Linked DNA regions of Notamacropus eugenii. The main gene of each other region encodes a partner of the protein of the gene in region 2 in a complex. Links are inferred from orthologs where the notes say so. Each region holds a gene or a part of one and is shown on either strand. Other genes may lie near its edges. The genes, in order: ETAA1, RPA1, HELB and ATRIP.

What was found.
Region 1: the proteins of RPA1 (region 2) and ETAA1 are in contact, whole or in part, in a crystal structure (PDB 8JZV), measured with the Homo sapiens proteins. The link is inferred for Notamacropus eugenii from reciprocal best matches to the Homo sapiens genes RPA1 and ETAA1. Residues at the interface, in NP_002936.1 of Homo sapiens: Arg31, Ile33, Thr34, Pro39, Arg41, Arg43, Ser54, Ser55, Met57, Asn85, Leu87, Arg91, Arg92, Val93, Ile95; in NP_061875.2 of Homo sapiens: Thr599, Trp600, Glu601, Ala602, Asp606, Asp607, Leu609, Leu610, Tyr611, Ala613, Cys614, Asp615.
Region 3: the proteins of RPA1 (region 2) and HELB are in contact, whole or in part, in a crystal structure (PDB 7XV1), measured with the Homo sapiens proteins. The link is inferred for Notamacropus eugenii from reciprocal best matches to the Homo sapiens genes RPA1 and HELB. Residues at the interface, in NP_002936.1 of Homo sapiens: Asn29, Ile30, Arg31, Ile33, Arg41, Arg43, Leu44, Leu45, Ser54, Ser55, Met57, Ala59, Thr60, Gln61, Arg81, Ile83, Asn85, Leu87, Arg91, Val93, Ile95, Met97, Glu120; in NP_001357214.1 of Homo sapiens: Glu496, Glu499, Val500, Lys502, Ala503, Cys504, Asp506, Phe507, Glu508, Asp510, Asn512, Ala513, Glu516, Trp517, Thr519.
Region 4: the proteins of RPA1 (region 2) and ATRIP are in contact, whole or in part, in a crystal structure (PDB 7XV4), measured with the Homo sapiens proteins. The link is inferred for Notamacropus eugenii from reciprocal best matches to the Homo sapiens genes RPA1 and ATRIP. Residues at the interface, in NP_002936.1 of Homo sapiens: Ile33, Thr34, Arg41, Arg43, Ser54, Met57, Thr86, Leu87, Lys88, Asp89, Arg91, Val93; in NP_569055.1 of Homo sapiens: Gly53, Asp54, Phe55, Thr56, Asp58, Asp59, Leu60, Glu62, Leu63, Asp64.

What each region holds. Positions count from the first base shown.
Region 1 is NC_092872.1:636,297,158-636,305,041, reverse strand, and holds the start of ETAA1 (ewing's tumor-associated antigen 1), read left to right. Parts: upstream 1-4,871; 5' UTR 4,872-5,110; coding exon 5,111-5,315; intron 5,316-5,571; exon of another isoform or gene 5,572-5,700; intron 5,701-6,486; coding exon 6,487-6,624; intron 6,625-6,893; coding exon 6,894-6,970; intron 6,971-7,814; exon of another isoform or gene 7,815-7,852; intron 7,853-7,884. UniProt on the Homo sapiens protein: Replication stress response protein that accumulates at DNA damage sites and promotes replication fork progression and integrity.
Region 2 is NC_092873.1:39,858,857-39,866,233, reverse strand, and holds the start of RPA1 (replication protein A 70 kDa DNA-binding subunit), read right to left. Parts: upstream 3,002-7,377; 5' UTR 2,819-3,001; coding exon 2,786-2,818; intron 1-2,785. UniProt on the Homo sapiens protein: As part of the heterotrimeric replication protein A complex (RPA/RP-A), binds and stabilizes single-stranded DNA intermediates that form during DNA replication or upon DNA stress.
Region 3 is NC_092874.1:243,294,568-243,301,786, reverse strand, and holds the start of HELB (DNA helicase B), read right to left. Parts: upstream 3,011-7,219; 5' UTR 2,773-3,010; coding exon 2,595-2,772; intron 1,876-2,594; exon of another isoform or gene 1,389-1,875; intron 1-1,388.
Region 4 is NC_092872.1:14,535,855-14,542,945, forward strand, and holds the start of ATRIP (ATR-interacting protein), read right to left. Parts: upstream 3,008-7,091; 5' UTR 2,927-3,007; exon of another isoform or gene 2,872-2,926; intron 2,687-2,871; 5' UTR 2,649-2,686; coding exon 2,276-2,648; intron 1,452-2,275; coding exon 1,315-1,451; intron 1-1,314. UniProt on the Homo sapiens protein: Required for checkpoint signaling after DNA damage. Required for ATR expression, possibly by stabilizing the protein.

The DNA.
Region 1 (7,884 bases), on a different chromosome or scaffold from region 2:
ACTAAACAGAGGACTATAGAAATATGAAAAATAGAAAAATATGTGCTACCTTTTGAATTATTTAGAGAACTGAGAGAGTTATTAAGGATGAACTTCTTGGGTTGTTTTGGGTTTTGGTTTTTTTTTTGTAAACAACTGAAGTTAGTCTTCCATTGCAATGGCAGAAATTAGTACAGTCAGTCACATGCTAGGAGTATTTAGCTAACATCCTGGCAAGTTCATCAGATGGCAGGTGGGTATAAAAGCAGACACTTCACAGAGTTTATTCTTTTAGATTGGCTAGGTGGAGGAGTAGGAGTATGGAATGTTTCACAGGTTGTCAGAGGTAGTTGTTGAGTCAGTTGGTATTGTTTAACTGCTTTTAACTGTTTTTCTTTGCACAGAGAGGGATTCACTGGGCTGGGGAGGAGGAGGGAAAAGGGAAGAAGAGAAGGAAAAGGTACAAAGAGCAAAACTTCAACTACTCCCTTCTCCATCTTCATGGGATATTGTCCTACCCAGTATTCATCATTCTCTTATTTAAGTTATAGTCTGAAGAAAATATGATTTTTATTTGGGGAGAGATGTTATAATATTAGTATTTAGCATAAAGCTAAGATATTGACTTCCATTCATTCATTCATTTACTGTTTGATTGATTGGTTTTGCCTTTTGTCAGAGAAATATCCTCACATTGGAAAAGGCAAGAGAAGAAAACAGTCAAAAGGAAATCAAAGATAAGAGAGGAACTAGGAAAGCACCTACTTACGTTCAATTATTTTCGTTACCCAACTAGAGATTACATCACAGGATTAGGAAAGAATTTATAAAGGCAGTCACTAAACCACTGTATGAAACCTTTGAGAAACTTTGGAGCACAGGAGAAATACCAGAGGCATGTGGACAATTTTCAAAAGGAGGGAACAGGTTGGATTCCGCAAACTGGTGAGTTTGATAACCCTGCCTGGCAACATGCCATAACTGATATTAAATGGATGGATTATGAGCATTTGGAAAGGTAGATGATGATCATTAAGTTTAGAACAAATTATCGCAAAGGTAGAGCCAAACAGAAGTAGCTTGTCCAATGTTACAATTCGAATAAGTGTCAGAGATAAAATTCAAACCTAGATTCTTTGATTTCAATTCCTATATTCTTTCTATTACCTAATACTGTCTCTATGACTGGAAATTATTTTTTGTGAAGGCAACGTGGTATAATGGAAAGACTGCTGAACCTGGGGGGGTTGGGAGAGACCTGTAGTTGAACTCCAGCTCCAACTCTCAGCCTTAGGCAAGTTACTTAAGGATTCAGAATCTAATTTCTTATCTGTAAAATGGCTTTGAGAATACCTGCCCTGCCTATCCCCTGGGGTTGTTGGGTGTAAATTCTGGCTGTTCCTACCACTCCTGCCATTTATGAAGTATCCAGTTCAGTGTGAAGCTATGTTCCCTTAAGATAAAGGGTGTGGCTTATCATCCAAATCCAACATACATTTATTAAGCAACCTCTACATGGAGCTAGGCTCTGTGCTAGGTATTAGGTAAATATGACACCATCCCCATACCCAAGGAGCTTACAGTTATCATTTCATCTACCATCACATCCCTGTCATCTGGCCTGACTACCTTCCTGGTAGGCCCCACCTCCTTAGATCCCACTCTGGGATCTAAAATGTTACTCCCACACTTTCCCCCTTTCCAATCAAAACAAGGCTACCCTTGTTCCTGGAAAGGGCACACACCAAACCAGAAGCTATTGCTCTAATTGTGTTGTTCCCAGCCCTCCTTGCCCCCACCCATTAGAATTGTTTTCATCCTTCATTGCTGAAGACCATGCCATCAGAGAAATGATGACAAGACTTGCACTTGACTTTGTTTTGAGTGAGGGAGGGCTGTGCAGGTCACCAGCCTCACTTCTCCTCCAGAGACATCTGGGTCCAATGACTAGATATTCAATAAGATGACTGGAGATGATCCAGGATGCAGAGGGAGGCCTTGGGGCCTTTAGGCCAAGGTCTTTGCAGGTATTCACTTAGGGTGAGGTAACACCCATTCATTGAATAGGCCTGTTTAAGAAGTAACTAGGGCATTGCCCCTTTAATGAGGCATAGAAAAAGAATCAGTTATTATTGATAATCACTCTAAAGCTAGGAGGGCCCATCCTGGGTCATCTCTAGCCATCCTGATGAATATCTGATCACTGAATTCAGATGGCTCTGGAGGAGAAGTGAGGCTGGTGACCTGAACAGCCCTCCCTCACTCAAAACAAAGGCAAGTGCAACTCATGTCATCATTTCTCTGATGGAATGGCCTTCTTTGGCAACAAAGGTCGTATATAATCCTGTGAGTAGACGCAGTTGGTTGAATGGGATCCCTGCTAGGTGGGTAATTCAGCTTCTCCTCTCCTGTCTGCCTCCCCCTTCTCTTCCTCCCCCTCTTCAAATGAAGGTAAATTTGGATGGCCAAAAGGTGCCCAGTTGGCTTGGGTTTTACTGGCCTCTTTCCTTCCTTTCCCTTTCCTTCCTTTCCTTTCCCCCTAAACTCATTACAATGGAAGCTCTTTCAAAGCAAGCATGGTTTCTCTTTCGTAATTGTATCTCCAGAAGTTAACTGTATCCCATAGGGCCAAGCACTTTTTTCTTTATTATTCATTATGATGACATTTATCAGATCCCTCTCCCTGCTTCAGTACCTAATGAAAGTAATCCTTGTTTAATGTCCAAAACATCATCCTTCCCCATGAAATCTAATCCTTTTTTAACTTCTTTATTTCTTTCTCATGGCAACATCATTGACCCTGATTCCCAATATCCATATTCAATCGGTTGAAAAGTCTTATAAATTCTACTACACAGTATCTCTTCCATCCCTTCACTCACATAGGCACCAGCCTAATTAATGACCTCATTACCTATTGCCTAGTGTTGTTCATTCATTACAATCTGGTCCAACTCTTCATGATCCAATTTGGGGTTTTCTTGCCAAAGTGGTTTGCCATTTCCTTCTCCAACTCATTTTATAGATGAAGAAACTGAAGGAAGTAGGGTTAAGTGAGCTGCCCAGGGTTACCCAGTTAGTAAGTTTCTGAGATCTGATTTGATGAGAACTTGGATCTTCCCAACTTCAGGCCCAGTGCTCTATCCACTTCAACACCTAGATGGATATATAAACCAGCTCCTAAATTTATGTGATCTGTGATCTCAGTGACTGGAGAGTTACTAACAAGGATGTGTATGACAATGAATGAATTCACTCTGAGCATCACTGAGAAAATCAGAAGTCAGAAAATCACTCTAAAAAATGATTTTTCACAGAGTGAAAATGAAAATCATTCTGAAAATGAAATCATTCTGAAAATTTGCCAAAGTTCTGGGGGCACATTTATGTCTATATGAAATCACCAAACCTTCTGTCTATATGAAATCAATGTAGCTCCTGGGGAAGAAACTTCCTTTAGCAATGTAGATTTTCGATTTCCCCAGAAATAATGCCCTTATTTGAGTAGCCTAGAAGCACACAGGGCTGCTGGGTGGCTCTGTGGGCCTAGAGGCAGGAACACAGGAATTCAAATCCTGTCCCAGGTAACAACAACCATGACCCTGGCCAAGTTACTTTACCTTTAGTGCTTCAGTTTCCTTATCTGTAAGCTGAGGATAATAATAATAACACCTATCTCCCAAACTGTTTTGAAGATAAAATATTTCTAAATAATATAATACTTTTAAAGATAACATTTCTAAAGATGTGCTTTGTGAACCTTAAAATCGGATATAAATGGTAGCTTGCACGTTATTTACCTAGGGCTACTCATATAATCAGTATGTAGCAAACAAGAGATATTAAACATTTAGGAATAAAAGTAAACTGTGTATGTCCTTCTGTATGCAGGTGTGCACACACACATGTACGTGTGCGGTACGTTGGCATGTAAGCGGTGCTCAAGAAGGGCTGGCTCCTCTGGTGCCAGGACTTGCCCAACTCTTTTCAAGGCTTTGGTGTCCCCTGGGCGCTCAGTTCTCACCTGTGGCCGCACCCAAGTAAAATTACCTTGGCAGGCAGGTTCAGCCAGGTTGGTTGGAGGGCCTGGCACCACAGGTGAGTTAGGGGGGTGTCTACCCCAAGCACGTGACGACCTCCCCTGAGGGAATGGCCGGATGAGAACAGTTTGCGCGAGGAGGGGCCTAGAGCTTGGTCAGGCGTTGAAGATACCAGGGTCATCCACGTGCCTGGGCCCGCTGCCCTGCCCTTTGTCCGGCCGCCCGGCCCGCCCGGGATGACCCTGGCAGGCAGAGTGGAGCTGAGGACTTTGTCCAGCCCTGCCTCCCTTAAACCCAGTTCCCACACACGCCGAGACCTCCCCGCTGGACATACCGCTACTCTGGTGTGCGTGTAGGGCCCGCACAGTGCGTGTGCAGATGGGCACGCTTCCGCACCAGCGGCTAGATAGCAAACCCACGCGTGTCTGTGGAAGCACAACACCCAGATGCGATTTGCAGCTGTGCAGCCCTCGTCCCGTGACTTAACCTCGCTGTAAACCTTCTCACGGTATAAAAGTAAGTTTAACAACCTCCGCCTGACTCGCGGGAGCATTACACGTGGCATGGGGTGTGCGTTGGGGGTGGGGGTAGTTTGGGGTGAATAACGTGCTTCGCAAACTTTGAAGCTCTTTATAGATGTCAGCTATTCTTGTGCTTGTAAGGGACCGAAGTTAGCCGCGTGAGGCCCTTGGGGGGGGGGGGGGGGGGGGACAGGAGGACACGCCCCACTCGGGGACACCGGGCAGACGGAGGAGTGCAGGACGCGGCTAGAGACAGCGAAGGGGAAAGGGCAACGCTCCTCCTCCGCTCTAACGGCAGGCAGGGAGCTCTCCTCCGCCCCCGGCCCGCGGGGCTGCGTGCGTACGTACGGCGTGACGTAAGGCCCTCATCCCGCCCTCCGGGGAGCGGCAGCCAATCATCAGCTTCCCTTTAAGCCGCCGGTCCGGTCAAGATGGCGAAGGCGCTAGCGAAGGCCCTCGCTTGGTGGTAGTGCCGGTGTTCTCCCCTGCCCCCACCTCCCGGGAAAGATGTGAAGGGAGAAGAAAGAGAAAGAGCACGCAGCGGGAGGGGGAGGCCCCGGCTGGGGGACGATGCTGAGTCGGCGGAGGAAGCTCGGCGGATCTCCCGGCCCCAAAGGGTCGCCGGCCCCGCCGCCTCCGCCGACAACCCCCTTGGCCGGGGATGAGGACAGGCCGCTCGGTGGGCCCGGGCGGCGTCTGCGGGGCCGGAGGCGGGCGCAGAGAGAAGTGGCCCAGGCTTCGGAGAGCTGCGCTCCTGTCAGTAAAAGTGCCGAGGGTGAGGCCTTGGGCGGCCCTGCCGACGAGGGGCCCACGCTGCTGCGGGGAGGCAGGCCGCACGAGCGCCTCCGGGGTTCAGGATGGGGGCGCCCCGCTCGTTCACTCAGAAAACACCCCTTCCCTTCCCGCGGACGAGCCTGAAGCGCGGTGCGGCCCTCGGACGGACGCCCGGCCTGGGGCCCCGCGGCTTCCGGCGGGCTTGTTGGGGGAGGGACGGAAGCCTTGTGGCCCGCCGGGTGCCCCGACCTGCTTACCCCAGACGCCGGCCGCAGCCACGTTGGGATGGGTGGGTCCGGGGGAGGGGAGGGAGCGCCACGTGCCCGCCCCAGCCCGCCCTCCCCCTGGGGCGAGGTGGGAAGACGCCTTCCTTCACAAGCGTAATCACGAGCTGCACGCAGGTGGTTGTCTCTGGAGTCCCAGAGTCTTCCTTGTTCTTTTAAATTTGCCTTCGAACATGCAGCCAATGTTCCAGTTAAGTGTTTTTTACCTATGAACCCCGGTAGTGTACACGTGCTTTTTAATCCTATAAGGGAAGAAGTTTTTTTTAGGACAACTTGTAATATTGAGGTTTTCGTCCTCGAGGTGTAGTGGTTCAGATTCTTAACCCCTTCTCCCGAAACTGAGACATTAGGTTATAAATTCAAAAGTGGGGAAAATTAAATCCATTTAATAGAAGAACCCGCCATACAACCCCTGATAGGAGAGTGTGTGTGATGCTCATATTGTATATGTGTGTGTGGGGGGAATATCTTTTTGATTCTTAATAAGTATTCCAAAATCTTTTTGAACCAGAAACTTATAAAATGGTTCATTGATAATAAATAAGAAACTATTGACTTACACATACACACATATATGTATATATGTGTTACGTATGTGTATGTATGTATGCACACATATATATGTATGTACATATATGCATATGTGTGTATATCTGTCTGACTGCACTCAAATATGTTTCTGGCCAGGGATGCAGAAATATTTAGATTTTCCTGGTGTTTAGTTATACATTGATATATAAAACATCACAACCTTCTTTATTGTTTTGGAAGGAAATTATCACCATATCTACAGAGTAACCCAATCAAAGCTATTTAGTTATTGTATTGCTCATATAAGTAGTCCTTTAAATGTAATGTTTATTTTAATTATATCTTATATTTATACAGAAATGTGCTTGTATAAAACTCCAAAGAGATTGTTGCAATCCAGTTTTCGATCACCTGTCTTCAGTTCCCCATGTAATGATACTGATGGACAGCAAGAAATATTTTGGGATCCAAATTCTCCAACGACCTGTCGATTAGGTAACTTGTAATTGGAAAAAATTTATATAAAACTGATTTTTTATAATATTTGATAGTTGGGCTTGAATGGTAATTATTTGGTAAGTGAGGTCAGAAACTTGTACAGAGCAAATATTTTTATGACAATATTGATCCTTCTCAAAAGCATACTGTGGTATGGACTAGTCATGGACTTAAAGCAAGCTATTTAAATTCCTTTTTCAAAGGGTCATAGTATTAACAACTTAAATGTTCTTTCATAACTTATTGAAATGCTTTTTCGTTTTTAGATGAAAGAAGAAATAAAAAGCTTGACAGGAGATGTAGTGTTGCAATTTCAGATATTGTTAACCGTATTGCTCCTAAGGTAAATACAATTTAATAACTTTATAGTTTGTTACTGAAACACTTATTAACTCAGTATATCTAGTCAAGTCACTTAATGTCTGGGAGCCTCACTTCCCTTATCTGTAAAATGGGTATCATTCTCACATTGTCTTTCCCAAGAGATTGCTGTGAAGAGGGACCTTTGTAAACCATGAAACACTATATAGTTGTTAAGTAGGAAAAGGTTTCCCAATATTATGTTGCCCTTCATACAAATAATTATTTTCTCACCTCTGTATTTAAAATAATGACAAGAAGGATTACTTTGTAGACCTGTGTTCTCAGCTCTACTTGTAAGGGATGTTTTAGGTTTAGGATTCTTGTTCAACTGCCAGTTAGACTAAATGACCTTTATAGTCCCAACTCTGAAATTCTCTGATTGGCTTATGTTAGTTCATATAAACATTGTCAAAATCCCTCTGATTTTTTTTTAACTAATTATCGTGTTTTTCAAGTTCTAGATAGAACAGGAAACTAAATCTAAACAACATCATAAAGTATTTGCCTATATCTACACCAGATCCCTAACCTCCATCTACTCAGAAATGTTGTTCTTAATACTGATTCTTAAAGACCTTAGTTGTGTGTTAGAATCTTTTACCAAATGAAAGTTTTTACAAAAATTGTATTTCCCTCTTCTCCCTTCAGTTCCTGTTACTAGTATGAGTGAAGTTAAAATGCCAAATATCTGTAATGTCAGGAAACAATTAAATCATGTCCTTTATATTCTATTAGATTGTCAAGAAATAGTAACAACTCAGTGGAAGATTCCTTTTGTCTTAAAACTAAGCACTTATATCTGCCTTTTTGCCATTTTTCTGTAGGGTGTCCACACTGAAAGAAGCACGATGTATATTCACTAGTAGGTGATAGCATCTTCATCATATGCTTAAA
Region 2 (7,377 bases):
GCTTACAATGCATTAAGTTGAGGTATCTGCACAAAACCCAGCAAACAGGGAGCTTCAGGAGTGAGGAGCCACCAGGTTGTCTCAGAAGGAGCAAATCAGCCCAAGTCAGAAATGGAGCAGGTCAAAGCTCTCATGCTGATCAGAATGGGATCAGGCCCATAAGTGGCTCTTGTCCTTCCAGCCTAAACAAGATAGAGCCCTAGTCTTTTTTTTTTTTTTAACTTTTCTTCAAACTTGGAAAAAAAGAAAAGCAAAAACAGACACTGGCATGGATTTGAGGGGGAAAACAAACTCTCTTTGGGACATACAGAATTTTAGATGCCAATTCAATATCCAGCTAAGGTACACCACCAGGCAACTGGTGATATGGAAATGGAGACCAAGAGAAAAACTGGGGCTAGAAATATAAATCTGGGAATCATAGGGCAAAGAGAATTAAACTCTTGCAAGTTGATGAGGTCACAAAAGACATAACCCAATTTGAGGAAATCCAGGAACCAGAGGGACAAAAGTATGATGGAGAACAGGCATTTGAAGATTAACGGGGATAGAAATAGACTACAGTTACATAGAAAGACAGAGCAGACTATAGCTATTTACAGTGATAAACATAAGGAAATCACAAGCCTGGCTCTGAGGCATAATATGGTTATGATGAGGAACTCCAATTATCTTTGCCCAAAACAAAGCAACTAGAAATTACTTAACCTACCTTAATAACTTCTTCCTTCAAAAAAAGCAAAGGAATCAATGAAGAAAACTTGTTTCCGGAATGTAAATGACCATTCTAGCTTAGAATTTGTGATAGACAAGAAGCTAAATGGTCTAGTGTGTCATATCCCCTTGAATTGTGGGAGAGCAAATTTCAAAGCTTTCAGGAAAAGAATAGGATGCCTAGACATAACTCTACAAAGACCCCTTCCAGCTCTTTACCTCTGATCCATGAAAATCACCATGGTTAGTGAAGAGCCAGAAAAAGAAGTGATGGTGAAAAACCACAATGGCTTCCTCAAGAACACGTGCTGCCAACTAATGGTAAGTCCTTTTTTTTTTTTGCCTTCTTTTTCCTAAAACATTTGATGAAGTCTGTTAAGCTCTTCTTGCAGAAGAGATGTGGATGACAGATTCTCTTAAGGTGGGGTGAACTGGAAATAGGTTGAATGAGTGAGCCCAAAGACTAGTCATTAATGGCTCAATGTCAAGTACTCCATGAAGTGTCCCAGAGAACCCTGTGAACGTGCTTATCAATCACAAGAAAAGGCACAGAAGGACATGCTCATCAAATCTACAGATGACATAGAGCTGGGAGGGAATGGATAAACATTCTACTGAATCAAATAAGATGCAATTTAATAGGGATGAATGACGTCTTACCGTTGAGTTTTAAAAGATCAACTTGACAAGTACAAGATGGGGGAAAGAAGCACCAACAGGCACCAGGTCATGTGAAAAAAGTTAAATTGAATTGACTGTAAGCTTGATATGCATCAACAGTGTGGTATGAGCTTTTAAAAAAAGATGACACACCATCTTAGACTGCATCAAGAGAAACACAATACTCAACACAGAACTCTGCCTAGTTCAGACTATATCTGGCTAATAAAGAGTCTTGGAGTCACATTTTAGATAGGATCTTAATGAATTTGAGAGTATTCATCCAGAGGAAAACAACTAGAATAGTGAACTCAGTCAACAAGCATTTATTTTTTTAAATTTATTTATTTTGAGTTTACAACATTCAGCTTTTCAACTTTAAACTTTGTCCCCCTCCCTCAACCTTCCCCAAGACAGCATGCAATCTGATATATGCTCAACAAGCATTTATTAAAGGTTTAATATGTGGCAAGGCGTTATGCTAAGTGCTGAAGATAAAAAAACAAAACAAAAACGGCCCCAGACCAGAAGGAGCTTCCCTTGTAAAGGCGGAGTCAACAGGTAAATAGCTAGGTAGGTAACAAGATAAATACAGAGGAGGGTGGGGGGGAGAGAAGGGATAAGTACCTGCCTCGCACCCACAGCCTGACGAAGGTTATCCGACATTATCTGAGGGGGGGACGCTAAGCAGGTGGGTGGGCCAGAAAGGCCAGCATAAGTGGAAATTTGAGTCTTTAATAAAAGAATCCAGGAAAACTACGAGATGAAAATGGGCAGGCAGGGCATGTCGGGGGCACAAGGGGGGGGCTGCGTTTGAGGAAAGCCAAGTGGGCCCCAGTGTGGGAATGGGAAGGGGGGCCGAGTGGGGAAGTCAAGCCTGAGGCAGGAAAAGTAGGAAGGGGCCGGACTAGAAAGAACTTTAAACGCTAAACAAAGGAGTTTGCTTGATAAAAGGGATTACGCGGGGGTCGGGCTTAGCCTTCCGCGGAAGCCTCCCGAACCCCAAGACCGAGGCCAGGGCGGGGTGCTCGGCCTTAGACACCCCCCGGGGGCATGCCCGGGCTTGGCCCCCGGGGCAGCTCGACGTCTCCTCGGGGGTGCGGGGCTCCCCCTTCCCGGGGGGCTCCCACAAACCACTGGCTGGGAGGCTCTGGGGGGGTCACCAGATTCTGCGCCCCCCCCACACACGGCCCCACACTTCCGAGGGCCCTCCGGACATCCCCGACCCTCGGGGTCTTCACCACATCCGGGGAGCCCCGCTTCCCCACAGCACAGGCCTCCTCTTCTAGAGTCACCCCAGGAGCGCGCGGGATCCCCCCAACGCCGACTCCACCCCCCTCCCGTGGCCTGCGCCTCCTCGGGGTCCCGCCACCGCAGCCGCCGGCTCCGCGCCCCCCTCACCTCCCCTCACCTCAATGGCCCCCTCGCTCAGGCGCCAGCTCATGGCTGTCCGCTGCGTGGCCGCCCGGGATCCGGTAGCTCGCTCCCAAGGTTCCCGGGTGTGTGTTCGAGCGGCGTCCGCCGAGTCAGCGGGAATCCGGGATGGTGGGGGGGGGGGGGGAAGGGGTCCTCTCCCGCGCGCTCAAATCTGATTGGCCCGGCCCCGGCCCTGGCGCGCGCCGCTCTCGCGCTCCGGAAGCGGGCGGTGTAGGGGGCGGGCTCAGAGAGTCGAACGGGCAGCCCATTGGCCGAGGCTCCCCGAGCGCGGGGAGGATGTGAAGCCCCGCCCACCGGCGTCCGGCCGGATTTCTGAGCGTCCGGGGGGCGGGAGCGCAGGCTGGCGTGTGACTCCAGCCGAACGAGCCAGGCCCACGCCGGGGAGCAGCCACGCGCGACTGGGAGGCCAGCCGGGAGGTCTGCGCTGCCCTGCCCGCGACTTGTCCAGGTGAGCCTCTGGCTGTAAAGGGGAAGGGAGGAAGCATTTATTGAGCGCCTACTACATGCCTGCTGGGGGCTGCGCGCTTTACAGCACGATCTCACTGGGTCCTCACAACAACCCCGGGAGGGAGGTGTTGTTAGGATCCCCGCTTTACCGACGGGGAAACTGAGGCAGGCGGCGGTTCAGCGACTTGCCCCGGGTCACCCAGCCAGGAAACGTGAGAGGCCGGACCCCGGGCCCAGAGCCCGCGGTGGGGTGAAGACACCTCTCTGCACTTTTTTCTGTTTTGGGGGAGAATCCATCCCACGGGTGTGATGCGCCCCGACCCGAGGGCCCCTATTAACATCCTTAGCCTCTGGTCCTAGAATTCAGCGGCAGCCTAAGGAAGGGGGGGATCACAAGCGGTCAGTCCGCAAGTATCTGTGAAGTTAAGAGCTACGTGCTGGAAACAGGCAGTAAACGTTTATTAAGCACCTACTGTGTGCCAGGATACAAAGAGAGGCCAAAGAGCAGTCCCTGCACTCAAGGAACTTAAGAGAGCCTGCGAACAACCTTGTTCGAAGGTACTGGATAAATAGAAAATAATTAAAAGAGGGGAGGGGCTGGTCTGGGCTTTTGTTGGGGACTTGAAGGAAGCCAGGGAGATCAGTAGTCACAGCAGAGGAGGGAGAGCATTCCAGGCATGGGGGAGGGCAGAGACAATTCGGGACATGGAGTATCTTGTTTGTGCATCAGCTGGGAGGCCAAGGTCCCCAAATCAAAGAGTATGTATTGGGGAATAAGGTGTAAGAAGACTGGAAAGGTGGGTAAGGACAAGGTAGGAAGGATTCTGAATGCCACAGTGTTTTGTATTTGTTCCTGGACGTCTCAGGAAGCCAGTGAGTAGGGGGGGGTGACATGGCCAGACATGGCCTGTGTTTTAGGAAAATCACTTTGAGGGCCATGTGTGTGTTTGTCCATCAGAGAAATGATGACATGACTTGCACTTGACTTTGTTTTGAGTGAGGGAGGGCTGTGCAGGTCACCAGCCTCACTTCTCCTCCAGAGCCATCTGAATCCAGTGACCAGATATTCATCAGGATGACTGGAGATGACCCAGGATGAGGCCACTGGGGTTAAGTGACTTGCCCAAGGTCACACAGCTAATGAGTGTCAAGTGTCTGAGGTGACATTTGAACTCAGGCCTTCCTGATTTCTGCACTGGTGTTCTATCCACTGTACCACCTAGCTGCCCTAAGGAAGATCACTTTAGTGTCTGAATGGAGGGTGGATGGAGTAGGGAGAAACTTGAGGCAGGGAAACCCAGGAGCAGTGACAGAAAGTCCCTGGCCTCGGGAGCTTACATTTTATGGCGTGTGCAATTATTGCTTATATAAGTACATGCAAAGTAAAGCAAAATTGTTTGGAGAGAGATGTCATCTAGGTGGAGGCCCTTTGGCTGAACCTTGAAGGAATCTAGGGATCAGAAGAGGTAGAGATGAGGGAATGATGGCAGGTATGGGGGGGACAACCTGTGAAAGGTGGCAGAATTAGGGAAGGGTAGTCCTCTGAAAAGAGATGCCAGAGCCACATTCCTTTGAGGGTAGAGTGATTGTGGTCTTAGGGATTTCAGCCATCCTTGGGCCCAACATCAGCAGTTTAGGAGAAGAGCTAATATTAGAACCAAGCAATTGGAAGAAAGCAAAGATTTACATTAGGGATTTTTCAGTTGTTCAAGGATTACGCTTTCATTGATGTGGTTTTTCTCCTCCACTTCTGGAGATTGCAGCCCCTTAGTGACTTAACTGAGTAGATAAGTCTGTGAGAATTGCTACAGCTGAAAAATTCAACATGCCTTTGCCATCCTGGTGATGAACCTCTCGAAACATAACTCACTGAGCCTCAATTTGGGAGCTCCAAAGGGCCCCAATGACCACCTAGTTGGACCTATTACATGAAAGGAGTCCCCTCATCAACCAGGGAGCTTCCCCTTTGGTGGGTCCTGGCCTCCTTGGGCAGCAGTCTATCTGGTGAGGCCTATGGAGCCCTTCTAAGAATTCTGGCTTTAAATGTATAAGATCAAGCACATGGGATTACAAAGAAAACCACTTGCACTGAAGTGCAGCTATCCAAAAATTTTTAAAATGTATTCACAGACGCTGAGTTAAGAAGCTTGACTCTACAGCTTACCTGATGGGCGGCAATACAGCCTTTGATTGAAGTCATCCTTTGAGAGGGAACCTGAAGGCAGCCCAGTCTCTGGGCTCTGACTGCTGGGAAATTTTTCCATACTCTGAGCCCAAGTTAGCCTTTTGCTATCTATGTCTACCCCTTGTACCTGGTTCCCCCAAGGCTCACCCTCAACACAAAGTCCTTCCCAGTCCCCAGTAATGCTAGTGCTTGCCCTCTGTTGATTGTCTCCAATTTATCCCATCTATATCTTGTTTGTACAGTTATTTACATTAGATTGTGAATCTCCACAGGGCAGGGACTGGCTTTTTTTTGCCTACCTTTGTATCCCTAACACTTAGCATAGTGCCTGGCCAATAGCACGCACTTAATACAGCTAGGTTCTGATTCATGTGAATAATGAATCTTGTGAAACAGTCGTATGTATTCACATTGACCCTGTTTGGAGTAAGGATTGTGTTAGCTATGGTCATTGTTCCCACCCAGTAGAAATGTGCAGTACAGATGTGAATAATGGGACCACTTCACCAGGTTCCCTATCCAGATTAATCTGGACCAACTTGAGTATATTAGTTGGCTGAATAAAACACTCCCTTCTCACCATGACCTTAAAATCCAATGGAGAGACAAGTACATCTAAAGAGATATATGGTACAAATAAAAATAAATAAATATATGTGTGTAAAAATTAAATACAAGGTAGTTTAGGAGAGAGGGTACTAGCATTTCAGGGAACCAAAACACTTCAAATAGGAAGCAGTGCCTGAGCTCTGTCTTAAAGGAGGATACGGCTTGTAGGAGGCAGAGATAAGGAGGGAACATTCAGGGTTGGGGTGATTTTTTTTTTTTCCTGGGAGCTTCACCCTCCATGAACAGTTTCCCCAGAGACTAGGCCATACAAGAATCAAAGGAACTGGGGCTGCTCAGCCTGGAATAGAGAGCACTCCAGAGGGATGTGCTGGCTGCCTTCAAACATCTGTTAAGGGCAGTCATGTGGAAGACTAGAATGGGGATGCTTGTCCCTAGAAGGCAGAATTAAGCAGTATAAGTTGCAGAGATACAGATTTAGAGTTAATAAAAGGAAAAACAGCTAAGTTGGTGCAGTGGCTAGAGCACTGGGCCTGAAATCACAAAGACCTAAGCTCAAATCAGGCCTCAAACACTGTCTGTGTGACCCTGGGCAAGTCACTTCCCCTTATTTGCCTCAGTTTCCTCATCTGTAAAATGAGCTGGAGAAGGAAATGATAAACCAAGAAAACCCCAAATGGAGTCACGAAGAGTCAGACACGACAGAACAGGCAACGAGAGCTAGGCCAAAGTGGGGTTGGATGCCCACTGGCTATCCTGAGTAGGGGAGTCCGGCTCAGTGGCATTCGGCCCTTTTCCATTCTGAGATTTTGTGATTCTGTGGACTGCAGGGGCAGGTTGTGACATGTTATTCCCCTCCTCAAGCTCTTCATTTCTGCCAAACTCTATTTGTGATTGCCTTTGACCTGACATCCTTTCACTGTCCTCCTTGCCATACTTGTTAGAATGCCCAGTTTCCTTCCTGCTAACTCCCCCAGCTGCTAGTACCCCCTCCTGCCTCTAAGCACTTTATGTGCTCTTCTTTATGAAGCTGCCTGTACTTTGTAATCCCCTCTCCTTAAAGACTTTAAGCTCTCTGAGGGCAGATTGTTTTGCTTTTGTCTTTGGATCCCCAGTCAATAAGCATTCATTAAGCACCTACTATGTGCCACGTAGTAGGTACTTGCTGAATGAATGATGAGCTGTTGGACTAGCCAAGCAGCAGCCAGAAACCTCAGCAGTTGTACCAGTTAGCTGTGCTCTAGGAATTCATTCCCTCTTCTATCTTCCTTGGAAAGAGGGGGATGTAAGTGACAGAAGGGCAGGAAGCCTGCCCTGAGGCACCCACTGTGGTGTCCCGTCACAGTGTGGTTGCAGCTAAGGCTTCT
Region 3 (7,219 bases), on a different chromosome or scaffold from region 2:
TAAACAGCTTTTCATAGGAAAATGAGAATATACACACGTGAGAATACAAAATGCTGTTTATAGGATCATGGTTTTAGACTTAGAAAGAACCGTAAAGGTCTCATCCAATCCTCTTACTTTAGAGATGAGGAAATGGACCCCGAGAGGTTTAAGTAACTTGGTCCTTGCCCAAGGACATTCAGGTAGAGACAGGATTCAAACTCAAATCCTAACTCCATTACTTTCCAATGGACCATAAACTAGATATTCTCTCCAGTTTTAAATGCATGATGTTTAACTAGAATTCATTTTACAAATGAGGAAACTAAGGATCAGTCAGCTTAATCAACTGTGCCCAAACCCACTTTTCTGCCTAACTTACTCTTCCTCTCAAAGTAGGAGTCATTCTTGCTTCTCTACCCTCCCACACCTCCATATAGCCCACGTCCCCATCGCCACCAAATCTGGTGGCTACCACTTCAACAACTCTTCCAGCTATCTTTTTTCTATTCTCACCACAACCAAACGAGGGCCTCATTGCAGGGATGATTTTATCAGCCTCCTTGTACTAGTTTTCTCCACTCTTGAATCTACCCTTCCAACAGCAGCTGAAATGATTATCTAAAAGAATCATGTCTAACCATGTTTCTCTTTTGCTCGAGAAACTTGAGTAGCTATTCACCGACATTAGTAGAAAATAGGAAGTCATGTTCAATTTGCATATTATTTCTATGGGTTTCTTTCTCTGAGTCATTAGTCAGATTCTTCGACACCCCAACTGGGGTTTTCTTGGCAACAATATTGGAGTAGTTTGCTATTTCCTTCTCCGGCTCATTTTACTGACTGATGACCTGAGGCACAGGGTTAAATGACTTACCCAGGGTCAAGCTAGTGTGAACTCAGGTCTTCCCAACTCCAGGCCCAGCACTGCATCCACTAGCTATCCACCTAGGGACCCATTTCTAAGGATACTCATTGTTTTCTGCTACAGAATCGAAACTCCTTGAGGGCAGAAACCATTTTCTTTTTTCTTTCTATCCTCAAGGTCTAGCACCGTAGCTTGCACAAATAAGTGCTTGAATAAAGTCCTTTGCTTTGCTTAAAGCCAGAGCCCAAAATAACAGTTCTGGGATTCAAACCTAGATTCTTATCCCTCACTACACCAAACTGAACTAAATGTCCTTGGGCAAGGACCAAGTTACTTATCCCTCTTTGGGTCCATTTCCTCATCTGCAAATGAGAGGGTTAGATGAAACCTTTAAGGTTCTTTCCAACTCCACAGGGATTCCCTCCGAGACACCAATAAACAAGTTTCAATTCACCTTCCTTTACAATCTAATCAGGAAGGCAAACATACCTATGAATGGATAGATGGCTGAAAGAATTAACAGCATTAGCCAAATGCTTACCATTAAGTGCCAGGAACCTGGCTTATTATGTATGCACTGGGGAGAGAAAAAAAAGAAACATTCCCAGCCCTCAAGGAGTTTATATTCCAAAGGAAGCAACACACATAGAAGGTCTCAAAAGAAGCTTTAAACTGCTCTAAGACTTTGGGACATCCAGTCTATAGGAAAAGTGGCCTGGGAAAGAGAGGTTTCAGAATCATCAGGAGTAAAATCTATAGGGCAGACAAATGACATAGTCCTTTCTAGGAGTACTTCTGGCCATCTCCTCACCAAGTAGTCTACGCTCAGTCATCCCCATTCCAAAATCCCCCAACTTGGACTAGACCCTTGGATCTCCAGACCCTGGTAAATGAAGTTTCTCTTTATCTATTATCTCTTTTGTTGCTTCTGAGCATCCTCCCCCAAACCCCCTTTCCCAGCTCTCCTTTTGCATTATATTTTATAAATATAAAAGTATTTAATTAATTTATTTGTTTTATTATTTTTATTTCTTAATTTATAAATAAATTATAATTTATATGACACGCATACTATACTATATGATATTATACTACATTACATTATTATATAATATACTATATCACGTTATATTATTATATGTTGTATAATATATATTACGTTACATTATTACATATTGTATATTACATTACTTTATATTATATACTATATTACATTATACTACACATTATATAATGTATACTATTTAACATATATTACATATTATCATATTATAACATTTATGTAATATGTACAAATAATAACTTATAAATATTTAATTATAAATTAAATGATTTAAAATACATAAAGGCAAACGCCTTTATATTTTAAGTGCATACAGCAAAAGCATAATAAGTGCTTCCCCTTTCAATAGCAATGTTTATACGTATCTCACACAAAATGAGAGGACTCATGAGCACAGGGGGTAAGATTCTTGGCTGGATGGGGTTTTATCGAGCCCACCCGCCCATCTCGGAGGGGAGAAGGGAGGTTCGAGGACATACGTCACGGGGTCATCGCCCTGGGGCTGGAGGGGTCCCTCAGACCATCCATTCGAGCCCTCCTGGTTTTACAGATGAGGAAACTGAGGCCCAGAAGGGTTGAGGGGCACAGGCCACAGCTAGGGCCCAGAATGGGAGCTCCGGCTCTATCCCCGGCCGCCCCCCGCCTTTCAAGGCCAGGTCCTCGGCTCTTTCCCGACTGCTTTACCCCAGCTGCGCGAGGGGAGGCTGCCCGCCCTCAACCCTCCGTTACACAGCTCCTCGGCGTCCACGAAGAGCGGCTCGTCCTCCTCGTCCTCCTCCACGACAGGCTCCTCGCCTTCGTCCTCCTCCTGCGCGTTTTTGTCCGGCAACAGAAGGCCCCGTATTACCCGAAGCGTCCCCATCGTCGGGAGAGCCGAATCGAAACCAGACGGCTACCCACGCCCGCGACTTCCGAACCAAAACAGTGGCGCTCCGAGACGCTGAGCCGCCCAACCAATCAGCGAGGGCGCCGAAACTCCCGGCCCATCAGAGAGCGCGTCTTGGCCCCGCCCTCTTCTCCCGGAAAGGAAGGCATTCCACCCCCCGCTCTGTGAGAGTCTCCAGACGCGGTGTTTGTAGGTTCTCTGAAATCACGTGGTCCATGCTTCCCGTCACTCAGAAGTGATTCCTCAACCTTCAGACTCCGCCCAGATCGGAGTAATCTAGAGAAAGCGGGAAAGGGAGGGGGGAGGGTGTAGGCAAGAGGCTCCGCCCCAACTAGGGAGCCGTGGGGCGGGGCTACCCTTGGTTGGGGATACAAATGAAACAATCCCTACCCTCGGCTGGCTACTGTAACGGTGGAGACGTTACGGTTTCATTTCAAGTGGGTAAATCAAGGTTAGACTGTAACAAGGAGAAAAACATTCTCTATCCTGGTCTTCAATTCATTGCCTAAGATTTTCATAATCTTTGGAAATTCATTGCCTAAGATTTTCATCATCTTTGGCAGTTATTTCCTAAGATTTTCATCATCTTTAGTAACCCATTTCAGTTTCTTTTGGACAGGGTAATGTAGTGATAAAAAGCCAGGCTCAGGACACCGAAGCCAAATTCAAGGCTGTCCACCATCACGCACTGCTGGTGTGACCTTGGCAAATCACTTAATCTTTCAGTGCCCCCAGACTATTCTCTAAAACAATAAAATGCGGAGAAGTTGCAATCCCACATTGGAAAGAGTTCCCCTTCTCAGGGAAATTAACCGGGTCCAATTCCTGTCCCGGTTTCCGGACTGACCACAAGTCAGGGACCTACAAATTAAGTCACTATATATCTTGATATTTGCCACTCACAGCAAAGGATGGTGAAAACCATTTTGTTTGCTATGGATGACTACACAAGATAGCAACACCTCTCCATCCAAACACATAAGTAGGGAGCCTGTGAACTGCAGTTTTAGACCTGCAAACTCAGTACATTGAGCAAGAGGTAGTTCTCCAGGGGAACCAAACTGCAAGATCAAACTAGCTAGAATAAAGATGGTAGTGATCCCTTGCCAGAGCCACCATAACTTACTGGGGGGCCAGTCTGAGCTCTCTGTGGGCCAGCAGTGGAATGATTTGCCTCAGGAATATGTACCCCATGGAGTTAACCTATGAAAAAATACATTTCCTAAAACAAGTCTTTGCCTCTGAAGCTTCAAAAATACAAAGAATTGTCTTTAAATTATTTTTTAATGATGTTAAGCACTATTAGAAAGCCCTCTTTCTTCTCAGGGAACATCCCACTATAGAGTTTATGGTACATCTTTTGGACTTGGACATTTTCAAAATCTATCCAGATCTGAGAAAGGAGCACCAAAAAACTTTGGTATCTCCTTTTCCTGAAAAACATCCTGAATGCAGATGGTGTCTTTCTTCATATTCTTTAAAGGTTCATCACCCCCAAGGTAGCTGCAATTCTTTCCCCTCTAAGAGTCAAAGGATACCTCATCCTGCTAATAAACAATCATTTTTTAATTATTAAATCACAGCCTGGATGTTTCTAATTTGAATTCTCACCTCCTGAAATTTTGCCCTGAATTACCTTGAAAACTACCCCACCTAGGGCTCACACAGTTTCACTCCAAACCTTAGAGTAAATGGCCCTTCTATAGCAAAAGTTTTGTCACTCGAAAAACTACTGCTGTCTAAGGGACCCTGCCCAATCAGTCCTACCCTAGGATGTTGAGAGTGAAGATAATGCTTTATTCTCTCCTACAAGGAGTGAGTCCCTTACAGCTTACAGTTCTCTCTTCAATTATAAAGCCACAACACTGACACAATCATATTTTTCACATTTATGAACAGTTAACACAATTGTTACTAGCATTCAAAGACTGCTAATCTGATGAGATACAATGTAAATATATTATCCCATTCCATAAAAAATTATAACCTATGGTCTTAGGAACTTGCTATACCTGGGCATTTTTAGCTAAGCAAATTGCTTGACAAACATATTGCCTTGTAAATGCTCCCAAATTCCCCTTATCAATTGGTTATTTAACTCATATGGATTTTGTCCCAAATGGCTGACTTCCTACTCTCATTATGGATAATTTCCAGAGCATATATTTTTCATATATGCTTTCCAGATAATTGAATAATTATGGACAAATTTGTAACTAACACCCCCAACAATTTTCATCCCAAACCTCCAGCATCTATGCCATGTCATATCCTGCCCCTCCCCCACTTAACCCTTCATCTTGGACAAATTTAACCCAAAGCATTATTTCTTGCAAACTTTTTTCTCAGGGAAGTTCCCCCAATATCATGTAAAGGAGATTTACCTACACCCCTTAGGTACTCACAAAGCACTTTGAATGCTGGTGACCACCCCTAAACCATCCAAGTGACCAAAAAAATAATTGCCATGACATTTTTCACACAGACAGCTAAAATATTTTACTCTCCCTTTGATTATTATATGCCCAGTAAGATTACACATAGATAGGCTTACATCCCTCTGAGCTAGCTTTTACTGGTTCAAGTTACTGTGGATCATCTGGTTAAAGATGGCTTTACTTAAAAAGCTACATACAATCTCATAGAGAAAAATGAAAATGAACTTTATTGTCACAGTTGCATGTTTTAACCCTAGAGATTCCAATTCTAAATGTCATTTTATTTTAATCTATATCATTCTTACCCTTCAATTTCCTGCCCTGCAGAAATATTGAGATAGATGGATGAGTGAGTGTCTCAAGATCAACTATTTCCATTCTGTCCTCTTCAGTCCGAGCTCACAGCTCCCAAAGAATCCACAACCTCTATATCTGTTTTTAGGAGTTGGGAGAAAATGATTTCATTCTGCGCAAACTCATCTGAAAAAAAAAAGCTACTCTATTTTTAAATGGACATTCTCCTCCCCTAAGAAAAATTATTAGGAAAATTACTATAAGAAGATTGCTTAGAAAGAACATGGCATTAGAGTAAGGTCTGACTGTCCAAAGCATCACTCAAGACACCTTTTTGCTAGCTAGTATTAAAAACAAACTTCCCCAAACCAATTGTAATATAGACAAAATGGGCCACATTTAGCTCCCTTATTGGTCCCATTTTGATCAATAAAACCTCTAATAAAATCATATATTCTTAGAGATCAAAAAATCCAACCTTCCCACCCAGTGAAAGCATTTTCTCTACATCTATGTGGATGCTTTAAATATAAAATGTGAAATACTTTCTACCTAAATCTTTTCTTTAGCTCTTTCCTCCTGACTTACATGCGGTAAGCCAACTGATCCAAACCCAGTGCAGTACTTTTTTCCATTACAAAAAAGCACTCACTTTCATTAGTATGGATAATTGAGCTAATTTGTCTAAATCAATTAAACAAAATGTCCTCTTTATTGAAGAAGATTCCAAAGTTGTTGCTTTTTAATTTTTATGTAAATATACTCACATATTTGTGTCATAACTAGAACTATATATGAGGTATAAAGCAGCACAATGAGATGAATCTCAGGATTCTTTTATCACCCACAACCAACATCTGAAACCCAGACCTGCCCCTCTCTCAACTAAAATCTTTGCCATGACTTCAAACCTACTAAATTTATTCTTTGCTTTTATTATAAACACTTTGTCCCTCTATTTTCATTTCATTAGTACCTATTCTGGCTTTACTTGCTCTTCTAACTTTTGCTGCATGGCATCGTCTATTTTAGCTATGGCTTCCTTAGAACCTAGCATCTCTGGGTCCTTTTTCCTCCACCATGGCTGTCACTCTCCACCATGAGTTTCCCTTAATATTTGCTTTTTTCTCTTCCCAGGCTGCCCAATATGGTATTAAAAGGAAGTACTGAAAATATGCCAGTAGGACAATTGTAAAACCATGCAATTTAACATCAACTGACTCAATAATTCTTTTATTCACTTCTTATATATTGTTAAATTCCTCACAGAAGCTATTTCAAGGTTTTTCTAACCTCAAACTTCCAATATCACTACTTGTAGTGATAATGCATTCTTTATTTTAGTATAATCAAGTGCCTCTTATTGAATAATGTGATTAAAGAAGATCTTCCCTTCCCATTAATGGGCCTGGGAAGATTTGTAGGAGGGCCCACAGCTTTTGTTAATGAGGCACTGGTTCTCTATTGTTGTGATGCCCTCTGGCTCTGAAATATAAATACTCTGAGGTGAGGTTTTACTTTGGGGCTGACTGATTGCAAGTGTTTGTTTGGCCAGAGGAGATTCTGGGCAGCCACTAAGGAGTACCCCAGCTTTGAGAACCCAGGTGTTAGTTGTTCTGTCTCTGGTAACTGTATGTATGGTCAGACAGTTATCTGTCTTGATTGTGACACATGTATTTCTTATATCAGGC
Region 4 (7,091 bases), on a different chromosome or scaffold from region 2:
AACATATATGCCAGCACAAACTAAGCAAGCAGCTAGATGGCTCAGTGGACAGAGTGCTGGGCTTGGAGTCAGGAAGACCTGAGTTCAAATCTAGTCTCAGACATTCACTAGCTGCATGACCCTTGGCAAGTCACTTAACTTTTGTTTATCTTAATCTACTGGAGAAGGAAATGGCAAACCACTCCTGTATCTTTGCCAAGAAAACTTTATGAGATCATGAAGAGTTGGACATGACTGACCAACAGCACAGACTAAATATTGATGCAATGCTTAGGGTATCATCGATTGTGAAAATCCTGTTGAAATGAAAAGCTTTGAAGTCACTCAGAGAGCTCAGCTTATCTAAGTCAGAAGACGGACACAAAAGGTTGGAGTTGATGGTTAAGACGGTAGAGAAAGAGTGTGCTGTCTAGTTTATCTCTTAATCAAGACATGGTTCTGAACTGGCTTTACAGATGAGCCATGAGTCAAACCAAAGAAAGGCAACATGGTGGAAAAGAGTACTGGAACTGAAGCTAAAAGACTCAGGGTCTACTATATGCTCTCAAGCAAGTTATTTTATCTTTCAGAGCTCCAGTTCTCTCATCTGTAAAATGGGATTAAGGATCTTTCCATTACCTAATTTATAGGGTCTTTGTGAAGAAAGAATTTTGTAAATCTTAAGACCATAATACATAGGTGAGCTACTATTATTACTAAACTGGCTTCACAGTAACAGGACAGGAAATAATACAACAAGTATTTCTGTGTTTATTATGTGCTGGGTGCTATGTTAAACACAAGGGATACAAAGAAATAGCAAAAATGGTTCCTCAAGGAATTTACATTCTACTGAGAAGACAGCATGTCCATATATAGGTATACACAAAATATATACAAAGTAGATACAAGGCACATTTAGAAAGGATGTACTAGCAGCAAAGAGGACCAGGAAGTCTCCTGTAGAAGGTAGCACTTGAAGTAAGTCTTAAAGAAAGCCAAGGATTTTAAGGTATGCAAGTGAGCAGAGAATTCGTTCTAGTCCTATGGGAGATAGGAAGCAGAAAATACATTCCAGTTATGGGAGAGAGTCAACGCAAAGGAAGGGGGAGGGAACAGTGAGCAGCCCAGTATGGCTGGAGTCAGAAGAATGTGAAGACTAAAAGGATAAGGAGGGGCCAGGTTGAGGAGAGCTTTACACGTTAAATGGAGGACTGCACAGGTTTGATCCTAGAGGCAAAAGAAGCCACTAGGTTTTATGGAGTAGGGTTGGGGGAGGGGAGTGAGTGCTCAAATCTGAAACACTAAGAGCTAAGAACGGTCCGTGTCACTTACCTTTTCCTTTAGTTTTTCATGTTGTGTTTTAAGCTTTTCTAATTCAGAAACATCAACCGCTGGAATCTTTTCTCTGCTTTTCTCTGACGGATTTTTACTTCTGGACAGTCCGTCTTGCTCAGGAAACTTAGGGATTCCTGCCAGTAAGAATTGACTTATATTAAATCTGAATCTAGATAGGGTGAAAAGAATCATTTGTCACTATGAATAACCTGCAGGGCACCCCCAGCTTAAGGAGATACTCAGTTTACAAATGATCCCCTACGTTCCTCTACCCTACATCCATTCTCCTGACAGAGATGGCGCTTTGGTGTCTCAAGGAGTCAGTGCCCTTAAAACTCCACTTCCAATAAAACCAGATGGTGGTTTGATTTTATGGTGCCATCAGTATTAGGCTTTGGTGAGATGGCCTGCGCACCTAACCACTTCCCTAGTACCTGAGACAACGTTTAGAGGCAAGCCGTGGATGACTGGAAATACAAGCTTTTGCAATACAACCTATTCCCAACTTGCAAAGTGCCTGCGTGAGATGAGAGGGGTCAGGAAGGTGAGTAAACCTGTAGAAACATGCGTAATTTTATTCCAGAGTCAAACTTATGGTGCTCCTCTTTTCCGGACTCTGCTTTAAGATGAATCCTGTCAGCCTGCCCATGGGATACCGGTATCACTGAAGCATGTCTAGTCCCGGAAAGAGAGCGAGGTAGAGGGGACTAGCAGTCAGAGACCCTGCTTCTGATATACTTACTAGCTGTGTTACCATTGGCAAGTCACTTAAACACTCTGGACTTAGGCTCCTCCACCTGTAAAACGGGAACAATACCTGTAGTACCTACCTAGCGGGCTGCGTAAGGACCAAGGGACCCAGCGAGCGCACGGCACCTTGGAAAGGGACCCCGCTCCGCAAGGGAGCTATCGTTAGCGCTACCGACTGCATGCCCAAGGTCCACAGCCGCGCACGTACCGAGGGGGGGTCCGGCCGCGCCGTCATTTCGGGGGGGCTGCGAACGCCCCGCGCTCGGACTCGAGCTTCCGGCGGCCGAGGGGGAGGCGAGCCTGGCGGCAGAACCGGCGTTCAGCAGGGCTGCGCAGTCCACCCCTTGAGTCAAAGCTTGGGAGGCGATGATGTCGATCTGCTCCAGATCGTCCGCGGTGAACTCTTCGTGGTAGCCAAAGGAGTCTTCCGCGTCCTGGAAGTCGGACACGTCCCAGCTCCGCGAGCGCTTCTGGGGCGGGGAGCCCCGCGGGGGGTCGGCCCTGGCGTCCCGGCCGAGGTGCGACTGCGAGGGGGTGCGCTTCCTGCCCCCCAGGAAGCGCTGCCCGGAGTTCCCCGCCATGGCTCTTGTGGACAAAAGGCTCGGCACCCCCAAGGTTCCTGGGGGGGAAAGTGGTGGGAGGGTGCGAGTGGCGACAGCGCTCCTGCCCTCCTCCCTGCCCCCATGCCTGCTCCGTCCCTCCCCCACCCGCGCTCCCGCCGGCCTCCCCCGACACCCCTCCCGCACCGGCCCCCTCCCCGTCCCGCCAGCGCCCTCATCCCTCCTCCCGGCACGCCTCCCCTACCTCTCTGCGCATCCCGAGACACGAGACCGCTCCCGGACTCGAGTCGGCCACTCACCTCAGTTCTGCCGCCGCCGCTACCATCCCCTGTCAATCACGGCACACGACCCGCCTCTCGGCCCCATCGACCAATCAGGCCCCGGGCTCTGGGGGCGAGGTGCAGCTCCCGGCAGTCTCGGGGATCTGTAGGCGGGCGCCCCCCGATGACGCCACAGCATCGCCGGCGGCCGTGTCCTGAGCGCGCGATGATGACGTAAGGATGTTGGGAAGCTGGGTCCCGCGGCGGGGCTGGCCTGAGATCCCCAGGGGAGGGAAGTTTGGCAGCTGCGGCGGCGAAGGATTGTGGGAAACAAGCGGTCGGGGGAGGGGCGGGCGGCGCAGAGGCCCGCAGGGCCCTCGGGAGCCGGTGCCGAGGCTGCCCTTTCCAGAGACCCGGGCGGGGCTGGCCGTGCTCCCGGGAACGTCATCTCCCCCGGGACCGAACCCTTCGTCCGGCTGCAGCTTCGTCCCCTCCGCCGCCGACTCCGGCGGGGCGGCCCGAGGGAGGCCCCCGCGCTGTGCCCCGCGTGCCGGCCCTAGCTCCGTAACTCCATTCATTCATTCGCTCCAGGGGACGAATGTAGCACCGAGGGCCCCGGGAGAGCTTGACGTCTTCCCGGGGCTGGGTGGGCCGGGGGGCAGAGCTCCGGGGCGCGCCCCGCTGCTCCAGCAGTGACCGTCATCTATTTACATAAGCTTCCATGGCCCCGGGAGACCCCAAAGTGAGCCGCGGGGAGGGAGGCGCCCCGAGGTCCCTGCCCCCAAGTAACAGTGGATGTCTGCCTGGGGTGCCCCCCTTGCCTAGGTGGAACACCGTCTGGTTGGGATAAATGACAAATACTACAAAACAGCATGCCCAGATTTAACTCTACATCTGTGAACTTTTATGTTTCTGAAAAATTCCCCCAACACATAAAAACATTGTTATTCTCCCCTCTTTTCCGTAGCCCTCCCTGAAACAGTAAGCAATTTGATGGGCAGTCATGCAAAACATTTACATCCTTAGTCACGAGAAAGAAGACACGGTCTGTGACCTTAAAACTTTAATTCCCATCTTTTGTAAGATTTTTCCAGGTCTCTTCCCCATCCCCCAATATCTTCCTCCCAGAGATGACTGCCCATGTACTACCCTATGTTTATCTGGAATGCATGTGGTTCTTTGCATATTCTCCCCATCAGAATGACAAGAACTAGTTTTCACCTAGCTGGAAGCCTGACCCATATTAAGCACTTAATAAATGCTTAGTATTTTATGCATTTAAAATCTTTATTGAGAAAGGTTGTATCAGTTTCACCAGACTGTCAAAGGGGTCCATGACACCAAAAAATGACAAGATCCCTTGCTGCAAACTCCAGCAGCTCCCTGTACCTTAAAGACTGTGGTACCTTTCCATTCTTTTTACATTCCAATGACACTGGCCTCCTAGAGGTTCCTTTAACTCAACACTCCCATCTTCTGATTCTGGAGCATTTTCACTTGCCCTCTCCCTACAACTGGAACTCTTTCCCTCCTCATCTCTATTTCCTGGCTTCCTTGCAGTCTCAGATAAAGTTCCATGTTGTGCATGTTTTCCCCAGTCCTCCCTCTGAAACTATGCCCAATTTATCGTTTGTACATAGCACAGTACATTGTACAGTATCTTGTTTGTACAGTTATTTGCATATTGTCTCTCCCATTAGACTGAGCTCCTTGAAAGCAGTGCTGGCTTTTTGCCTTCCTTTGTATTCCTAGTGCTCAGCAGAGTGCCAGGCTCTTTAGAGTAGGCTCCTTTATAAATGTTGTTGGTTTGCCTTTCATTCTCGAAAAGGATCATGACATTAGTGAAATGATGACATGACTTGCACTTGACTTTGATTTGAGTGAGGGAGGGCTGTGCAAGGTCACCAACCTTGCTTTCTTCTCCTGAGCCATCTGGGTCCAGTGGCCAGATATTCATCAGGAGGACTGGAGATGGCCCAGTATGCCATGTGAGACCCTGGCCCTTTCAGGCTGAGATCTTATTACATTCTCACTTTGAGTGATACACCCATTCAATGGATAGGCTTCTTTAAGTAGTTACTCAAGGGATGGTCCCTTTAATAAAAAAAAAAAATCAAACTGGGAGGGGAAGACCCTTAGGGTTCCTGGGTAGTTATTACATCCACTGTGGGCTAGGTGGGTGGGGACTTTTATTGATAAAATGACCACCAAGGCCAAGATTTCTAGAACTGAGTTCAGTTTAAAACACTGAAATGACCTCAGGACAAAATGGATTAAAACTTCAGCTATGCCTTCTTCCCAGAGTTTCTCTCTTCCCTGGTTTCCTCTCTTCAGGATCTAGAGCAAGCTTGCACAACCTGTGGCCCACCGGCTGCTTGCAGCACACCAAAGGATTTCAGGTGGCACAAGAAAAATGTAAAGGAAAACATCCTGTACATTTTGTGTGCCGTAAGTGGCGGCAGGTTGTGCAGGCCTGATCTACAGGCTGTCGATTAATGAACATAACGCCAAAGAAAAAGAGTACATTCAACCATCTTGTTTAATTTTTTGTGTACACTGCTGTTTAACCCAGAGGCATATCAAGTAGATTATGGCAGAGGACAGTTTCTAGACTGGGTCAGGTCATCCTAGCTGAATTAGGAAGAGCTGACATGGAAAAAAAAATAAAGACAACGTGAGTCATCACTATGATTTTTAAAAAAAGTTTATTACAATGTACAAGACTCATTAAAATGACACTTAATCTTGACTGCAGGCGGCAACAGATGTTGAAGTAGGAAATGCAGATGTCACAAAGCAACAGGAATCACCATTTTATCTACACAGGAACGTCTACTTTTTGCCAGATTTCTTAATGCCACCACTGGCTGTAAGAGAAGGAAATATTACTCTAGACAGGGAAGAATGCTGAGGGGTTCATCTCAGGACCACTAAGCCCAGATGATTTATCTTGATTTTAGCTAGATTTGCAATTCCACCCTACATGACCCACTCACTAAGTAGGAAGTTTAACAGCTCTCACATCTACTCCCTTCTCTCCACCCGAGCTACAAACCCTTCAACACCTTTCCCCTGGATTATTGTTATAGCCTAATTGGTCTCTCTGTACCTAGCCTCTCCCAAATCTCCTCCATATGCTACCCAGGGGTGGGAAACCTGTGGGTGAGAAACCCATGAGGTCACATGTGGCCCTCTAAGTCCCCAAGTGGCTGAATCCTAACTTCACAGAACTCTGCCAAGGTGGCAGGTTCCCCACTGTTGCCAAATTCATCTCTCTGACCGTGTTACTCCTCTGCACAAGAATTCAGCAGCTCCCCATTATTTTGGGGATAAATGACAAACTTCTCTGTTGGGCATTTGAAGTTCTTCATTAAGTGGCTTCAGCATTTCTTTCCAGGCTGATGATTATCCCTCTGGACTCATCACTACTAATAAATTGGCCCACTTCCTCTTTAGGACATTCTGCCTCCTGGCTTTTGCCATACTGAGATGATCTCATTCCCCAATTCCACTTCTTGAAACTTCCAGTTCCTTCAAGGTTTCGTTCCAGTGCCCTCTCCTTTAAGAAGTCTTTCTGTGTATTTATTTTATTCGTATTCTGTACTTCTCTGTAAACACTGTAGCATGCTGGTAGTTTGTTCATAAGCTCTAAGGCTGGGACTGTTTCACTTCTGTATCATCAGTATGAGGTACATAGCAGGCAGCTCAAAAAGTGTTCTTTTACTTCTGCAAGCTTAATGTTAAGTTAAAATTTTTTAGAAATTTGTAATGTTTTACAATGACTATGTCTTACATACTGGCATACATTAAGTTTTAGTTGATATACTTAAAAAGAAAAATAGAGAAAATAAGAGGTCTGAAAAATTATTTCAAATTGTGAATAATAGGTTTTAGGCAGAAAGGCTGTAGTTATTGGGATTTTTTGGCCCAGAGAATCTTTTTGAAATGTGATCACTTCTATTTATCTCCCTGAACAAAAGAAATCTAATAGCTTACATTTATGTGTCACCTTATAGTTTACAAAATGCTTTCCTCATAGTAATCTTATGAAAAGTGGAAGGCAAGTATTATCCTCCCCACACAAATGAGGAAACAGGTTCACAGAAGTTAAATGACTTATTCAGAGCCACACAGTTAGTTAGTAAATGTTAGATGATATTTGAACCCAGGTTGCTCAACTCCAGGCCTAATATCTAGATGTGTA